Linked DNA regions of Tamandua tetradactyla. The protein of the gene in region 2 purifies or fractionates together with the protein of the main gene of each other region. This does not show direct contact. Links are inferred from orthologs where the notes say so. Each region holds a gene or a part of one and is shown on either strand. Other genes may lie near its edges.

Evidence for each region. Proteins that work in one complex are often made in the same cells at the same time.
Region 1: the proteins of RAB11A (region 2) and WDR44 purify together in Homo sapiens (affinity purification with mass spectrometry; 3 studies listed by BioGRID and IntAct, counting the BioPlex papers as one, with this or other methods). This does not show direct contact. The link is inferred for Tamandua tetradactyla from reciprocal best matches to the Homo sapiens genes RAB11A and WDR44.

The regions. Positions count from the first base shown.
Region 1 is NC_135353.1:49,266,640-49,270,388, reverse strand, and holds the start of WDR44 (WD repeat-containing protein 44), read left to right. Parts: upstream 1-891; 5' UTR 892-1,182; coding exon 1,183-1,259; intron 1,260-3,749. UniProt on the Homo sapiens protein: Downstream effector for Rab11 which regulates Rab11 intracellular membrane trafficking functions such as endocytic recycling, intracellular ciliogenesis and protein export.
Region 2 is NC_135340.1:82,872,907-82,876,655, forward strand, and holds the start of RAB11A (ras-related protein Rab-11A), read left to right. Parts: upstream 1-1,075; 5' UTR 1,076-1,218; coding exon 1,219-1,258; intron 1,259-3,749. UniProt on the Homo sapiens protein: The small GTPases Rab are key regulators of intracellular membrane trafficking, from the formation of transport vesicles to their fusion with membranes.

The sequences.
Region 1 (3,749 bases), on a different chromosome or scaffold from region 2:
ACCGAACACCGGGCAGTCGAAGATCAGAATTGTTACCTGTTCTTAGCCTTGTAAGGTATCTGCTCAATAAATATTTCTGGGCAGGAGATAAGAACTTCTTTCATATTAAGAGTGGGCAGGGACAGTTATTTCTGGTGATAAAAAGTAACCAGAGGTCTTATACTACCTTAGCTCCAGCAACTAATCCATCATTAATCCATGGAACAGGCACGCTGTCACATGGCCCCCACCCTCTGGCCCGCAGGATCTTATCTAGGGACCCCAATTAGATGCAATTGTCATGAATAGGGCGGGTTATTCCGTAACTTTAGAGGTGGTGGGCATTCTTATGCCCCAACGGTGGGATATTCCGGGCTCGCATAAATTAACATAAGCAAACCGAGAAGCCCATGCCAACGTTTCCCAACACCATTTCCTGATTAATAAGAAAATAGCAGGCTCAAAATCATTCCTCCTAAAACACTTCTCTTTGAAACTGCAAAGTGGGTAAGACACTCTTCGGAACCTCACCTACGTCGGGCACATGCCTCAAAGCCTGTGCATCACGCTGCTCCTGCGCAGGCTACAGGCTCCTCCCTTCACGAGGCTCACCCACTCCCTTCCCGGCTACTTCCGGCTCCACAGAACGCCCTCAACGCACTGGCGGCGTTTTAATAGGCTTCTCTGGCAGAAGTAATCCAAGCGCGCCTCTCTGAACCGCCCCCGCCTCCCCTTCGCCCCTCCCACACTGTACAGTTTCTCCACAACCCCTACCTCCTGAAATCTCGCGAGGGTTGGTGAGCGTCGGTATTTTGCGGGCAACTGCCTCTCCCAGCTTCTGTAATTGCTGCTGCGGGAGAAATTGGAGCTACTGTCCCTGGCCCGCCCTCCCTCCCCCACCGAGAAGAGCCACCGCCTCTTCTCTAGCTTTCCTTATACATCTATTGCCCGGAGCGGCCACAGCAATAGTGTCTGGGCCTGCCGCCGCCACCTCGGGCGGTCTCTGCCGGTCCTTCCCGGCAGCTGCAGGCGGCCCCCTGCCCCTAACCGACTCCTCACTCCAGATCGTCTGCTCGCTCCTCATCCTTGCCTGGGACTCACTTCCCCCACGGTCTCGCCGGGGTGAGGGACGACAAGGAGGAGACGAGAGTCACCCTCCCTCCAGGAGGCGCCGGCCCCCTCACCCGCGGGTGTGTCTTATAAATGGCGTCGGAAAGCGACACCGAGGAATTCTATGATGCCCCTGAAGATGTACACTTAGGGGGCGGCTACTCCGCAGGGTAAGTAACTGGAACGGCATTCCCGTTCCCCACTTCTCTTGTTCCTTAACTCTGGTCCGGCTCTGTCCGCCACCGCCGCTCCTCTCAATCTCACTCGGGCACTTCAGAACCCAGATCTGGGGCGCCTCGGCCAATTCCTCTCTTTCCCTGGCGCACGGCCTCCGGAGCCCTCTCGGAGCCCCTTTTTCGGCTTGTTCTGTTTTCTGCGAGGTGGACAGGTTACGTGCCCAAGAGCCAGCGATTTATGTTTGTGGGGTCCAGAGTTTACCTTTCAGATATCCAGTTTGGCCTCCAAACCATAGATTAAAAGGGCAGGAACAGAAGAAATTGCACGTCTCATTTTTTTTCTTTTTACCGCTAACTTACCTATTCATTTAAAGGTAGCTGTGACTCTCGTTTGCTGTCTTCTTTTCCTTGCACAGAAAGAAAAGAGAGGAAGAAAGGTTGGGTATTTTCTTAGTAAGGTCCTCTAGCTGATGTACCTTAGGTAAACAGTGTTTTATTAAAACAGCACCTTACCGTGAGGCAAAGGAAATCGAAGACAAGGTCCTTATGTTAAGAATGCGTTCTCAAAGGGTAGCCGGACGTAAATGTACACAACAGATTCCAGAGATACAAACAAGTGCTGAGTAATCTGGTGGTTGGAAGGAGACCCACAGCTTTGTGCTCTTTATCTAATTTCTGCAAGATGTTGAAGTGGTGATTAACATCGGAGATTGAGTAGAAAAAACAGGAGTTGGAATGCTTCGCTTAGGACTTCTACTTAACCAATCTTTCACTTTTCAAAATTGGAATATGTTTAAAGCGATTTTACTGAACTTGACGATTTTACTTTACTGATTTTACGGTCTCGTGTGTATGTATTTTCATGCTGTAAGAACTTGAGAATTGATAAAATTTGAATGTTAGTGTAAGGCCCTAATGTGGTTCCAGGAGTTCAGCTCCCTTCAATTCTCATGCTTACCCCGTCGAAGAAATACCCTGTTTGATGAAAATAAAGATATCTGTAGATTGTAGAAATGGATTGTAAAACCTAGTGTATGTTATACATAATGATATATACCCAAAAAGAGCAGCAAAATCAGTGAGAAATGTACCTTGTTAATTGTAAATGTATGTGTTTCCATCGACCTTCATATCAATATTGTGGGATTTGGGGGATGATAATGGTCCATGTTAAGAAGACACTGAACTCAGTGTCTCAGTGTCTGAGCCAAGTTCATAGCCAGAGAGTAGAGGACAGAAAATTTCTATTTCAGTGTTGCTCTCTTGAAATTAAATTCTGTTTTTGTGTGTTTTTTCCTTCAAGGAAATAAACTGTCAATTCAGGTTAAATGAGAAACCTCCTCCGTTAGTATTGTATATATATGTTTTGCATTAATTAATTGCGTTGGTTTTTTTTTTTTTTTTTTTACACTCTGTTCCCACCTTTTGGGTGTGTATGTGGGGTAGGGAAAGTGGGAAGGGGAAATAACAATTTGCACATGCTAATCAATTTAGAGCTATGTGGATATTGTTCTTTTTCATTGAATACAATAAGATTAATTTTGAAGGGAGTTACATCAGACCTGTGTAGTCTGCCTGGTCAAGTACCTAGTACAGAGAAATATCTTAAAAGTTCATTCCCTTCTTCCTTTCTTGGAATTACCAAATTCATTAACTTCATATAATGCTTGCTTTGAGAGGAAGTATCCAGAGCTTGGAGGAGCTATTTAACTTATCTAACCAGATGGGGCGGGCCACGATGGCTCAGCAGGCCGAGTTCTCGCCTGCCGGAGACCCAGGTTCAATTCCCGGTGCCTTCCCATGCAAAAGAAAAATTAATTAATTAATTAACCAGATGAGTCATTTTGATAGAATTGAAAGAGTCACTTCTTCCCTCATATGATAATAAAGCACTTTGATCCTTTCATACTAGGTGAAAAGTAAAACAAGTTTTTCTAATTTTAACTCTAACCTGCCCAAGAGCTGAGTAAGTTGAGCACTGTGGAGAAAACTACATTGTCAGTTTGTGGATTTCGTGATTTCATTCTGTAGTGAGGGAATTTGGAAGAGAATTAGACTCATCTGGAGAATTGCATGTGAAAAGAACTAGCAGTGCTTGGAGAAAAGTAAAAGGTGGGTATCATTAACATTTTCCTGTATCCTTTGTGGCAGGTTTTGTCATTTGGGTAAGGTGCTGAGAAGACACTTGGCTGGGCAACTAGTGACCTAGCAATACATTGTGGAAATCTTGATTTGTGAAAACAGATGTTGTCATTAGATATTTGATCTTCAGAAATAGTTTCTATCCCTTGAAATGAACTGGAGTGTCACACCATACAAACTCTTAAGATGGTTAATAAACTGAATTTGGGCATGTTAAGAAATATTCCTTGCTGTTGCATGTTCAGGAATTCAAATACCATTTTACCACATTATAGTAAACTGAGTAGGCCCTTGAGAGTTACCTCGTATGTTTTGTTAATCAGCATAATCCAAATATGTAAT
Region 2 (3,749 bases):
TTAGGATGGGGACACGTTTGGAGGGCCATTACTCTGTCTACTACACACTCCTGCCCAAAAGTCTAGATTGAGGGTTTGCATATAGTCAGTAGGGGGTGACAATAAATGTGAAATGCTCTTTGGAATTAAAAAACTCCGGTCAATATATGGCCGCCCTGTGTGATCTTTGGTTAATTACTTGAGTCTTAGTATCCACATTTCCACTAAAATGGAAATTGCTGTGTTTGCTCTGCTTGTTAAATGAAATAATTATGTAAAAGGACCTAGTTTAGACTGACAAATAGTAAGGGCTCAGAAGTTCTTGATGAATCTTCATAAGGAGGGTGGGCGAAATTCTCTGAAAGACATCTGGAGACAGTTTGAGAGATTTCTGGAGAGCAGTGAGTGAGAAGCACCCACCCTTGAGGAGATCAAAAGGAATCAAGTTCCACGGAAGAAGCTCTTGAATTGTTTTGAGGCTGAGATGCCCAGATTAAAAAGGGCAAAGCTAAAATGTTCCTTAGAAGACACCCACATGCAAAGTGGTTGTTTAGTAGTACGAACTGAAGGGGGGATCTGTGGGGTCTTTGGAGGAAAAGATTACATTTTGTGAAATCCCATGCCACTTAGTTCAATGCCACGCATACCGTAGTTTGTACCATTACCAAGTGAATTAGATTTAAAAGGTAACTGGGGGGAAAAAAAAAAAGCAGACGCCACAGGTTCCACCGAGATTTGAACTCGGATCGCTGGATTCAGAGTCCAGAGTGCTAACCATTACACCATGGAACCGCCAGACGCCTTGTTGCGCTTTCAGATTTCTGAAGGTTAGTAAACCCCGCCCCACCACTACGTTGAAGCTTGTCTGATGCGTTCTCAGAGCTTGGAGTCCTGCTTGGCAGCGCGAGTTGGGGCAAGAATAAACGAGAAGTTACTAAGAGCATGGTCAGTTGGGAATCTAGGACTCATCTTCCCATATCAGCCTCCTTGAGGACGCTGTGACTTCAACGAACAACCCGATGCAAATGCTTGCAGCCCTGCGGGACTCGGAGGTGGGGCGCCAACTCCCCGGAAGTACTTCCCCTGAGGGGCTGGGGCTGCCGGAAGTGGCGCACGGCAGGGAGGGGCACTTCACCGGGTCCGGCGTCTGAAGCTCGGAGCTCGGGTTACCCCTGCAGCGACGCCCCCTGGTCCTACCGATACCGCTCCTGCTCCCGCCCCTTCAGACTCGGCCGCGCAATGGGCACCCGCGACGACGAGTACGACTACCTCTTCAAAGGTGAGCCTCTGGGCTTTGGCACCCTACAGTGTGTCCCCGTTTGGGGGCCCGGGACACTCCCCGGGGATCCGCGCGCGGGCCATCCCGGCACCGAAATGGGGCCTGCCTCAGCCCTTCCCTTCTGAGCAGTGCTTCCTGCCATCTTCCAGCTCAGTCTCTTCTCTCCTCAGACTGGGGGTCGCCACCACACCCCATTTCATAGCGACCTTCTCGTAGGCCCTCGCTAGCCTCAGAGCCCCTCATTGTGTGTCCTTCTCACGGCGGACTGCATTCTCCCAATTCGTCGTCTTCATTCCTTTTCCCGGGTTTATAGCTCCTTCCAAGGCCCCGCCGCCCCCCTCTCCATCTATCTTTTCTGACTTAGCGCCCCCCTCGCCCTCTTCACATCCTCTCTAATGAGTCCCTCTGACAGGCCCTCCCTCTTCCCTTTTCGCCTTTCCTTAGGCCCAGAGACTCCTACTACGGGTCGTTCTCTCATCTGGTACCCTTTTCTCCCGAGAGAGCCTCTCCTCTCTGTTTCCTCGCAGCCCCTCCTCTGGAACGGACTCCCCTCCTAGCCGACTGCTCCAGGCTCGGGGTCCAGGTCCTGATAACATCTGAGTGAGCCAGTGGCCCCCACCCCCACTTGTTCCGCTGTTCTCGCGGTCAGTAACCTTCCCCGATCGCCCCCGAGGGTTGGCAGCTCTTTTTCTACCTTCCCTCGCAAATGTTGATAGGTCCCGCGGCTCCAGTGCGACCCCGGGGTGGGGGTTGGGGAGACAAGAAAGAATGTCCATCACCCACGCGCGAACTTGTCGCAGTGACCCGGCAGGCTGATGTGACTTCCCACCTTGCCGGTTTTTTTTTTTTTTTTTCTTGCCGTCCCTTCCCAGCGGCATCTAGCCTGGGATAACTCTTAACTCTGCTAGTGAGAAGGGGTTGCGGATGGGTGGTGGCTGTTATCCTTGCCAGACCTGAAGGCCCAGTTCCTGAGCAGGAAAGGTTGTGCGCTGCACAAACACTGGCTTGCTTTATCGCAGTGGTCTGGTTGCTTCCTGCTGCAACACTGGGAGGATCCAGTCTTCTGGTGTTTTAGAACAGGAAGGGAAGAGTCGGAGTTGGCCCCATACCTTTCCCAAAAGGTGGTGGTGGGGGGGAATGGGTGTGTGCTCTTTTGCACATATTAACTATTATAAAACAGGGACATATGTCAGTGCCTTTGGACAAAATATATTGGAGAGTGGGGGTTCAATAGAATTGTTTATTGGTTAGTCCAGAAAGAATCCCAACAGTTTTTTTTTTTTCCTTAATCAACAGAGATAAAGGGTAGAGTTTGCAGTTAGAAGAGGGTATAGTAATTGCCTCCCCCTGTGTTTTTCTTTTGGTTGTTGTTCAATGAATCTCTCTCTGCTGCTGCTCTTTTTCTGCTCCTGAACTAGGAGGGCAGCCATCAGTAATGTGCTGAACAAAGATCATTACCAGGGAGGAAGAAGCCAGAGCTATTAAAGCTTTACAGTGGAGGGTGGAGTTAAAAAAGAGTGTTAGGCTTTATGACTGTTTGTGACTTTGCCATTGGGCGCTAAGAATGATTGACTAAACAAAGCAGGAAAGGTTTCTTTACCAGTACTTTGCAAATCTTACTATTACTAGCTGCTGATATACCCTTGTCATCACTTGCTCCTCTGAGCTGGTGTATTTATATAGGGCGCACACCTTCAAAATCTACCCCCATTCCCATACTGGCAAGGCATTTACAGAGAAGAGGATACTTAATGCCTTTTAGAAATATAAAAAGAAAACCTGTATTAGTTTATATACTGTTTGTTGAAGGCATCTGAGATTATGTGAAATTACTTAAGACAGTCCCTGGAAACTTTTAGGTTTCGTCACTAAAAGGAGGTTTGCTTTTCAAATAAAGTATAATGGCAGTGGGCAGCTTAATTAATTAAATTAATTAAATTTATAATTAATGAGAGAAACTGACCGGGTACTTCTCCTGTTTGGTTTGGAGTTTGAACATTTGTTATTAAAGTCTTTTTATATTTTCATTAAGAATATTATCCTGAATTGTCTTAAGGGCTTTAAACTTTTGATATAAATTTAAACATATATATATATAACTTTTGATATACCTTTGGAATTAGACCACCTATCTTGAGAGCATAGGGGTTTAGAATCAGGCAGACTTGGATTTAAATGCTGACTCAGGTCTTTTATTTGCTCTGTGACCTTGGGAAAGTTAACGTTTTTTTGAGCCTCAATTCCCTCATCTATAAAAAGGAAACAATACTTACGTCTTGGGTCTACTGTAAGGATTAAATGAGGCTCTTGTTAAAATTTTAGCTTCTATGAAGACTCAATAAGTGATAATCATGTGAAAGAAGTTACTGTAGTTCTTGTCAGTTTTTTAACGTTAAATTGTTATAGATACAAGAGCATTTAAATATTAATAAAGAAACTTAAAATTAGGAACTTCTTAAGTATTTTACTTTTCCACGGGTTCAGGTTTCAT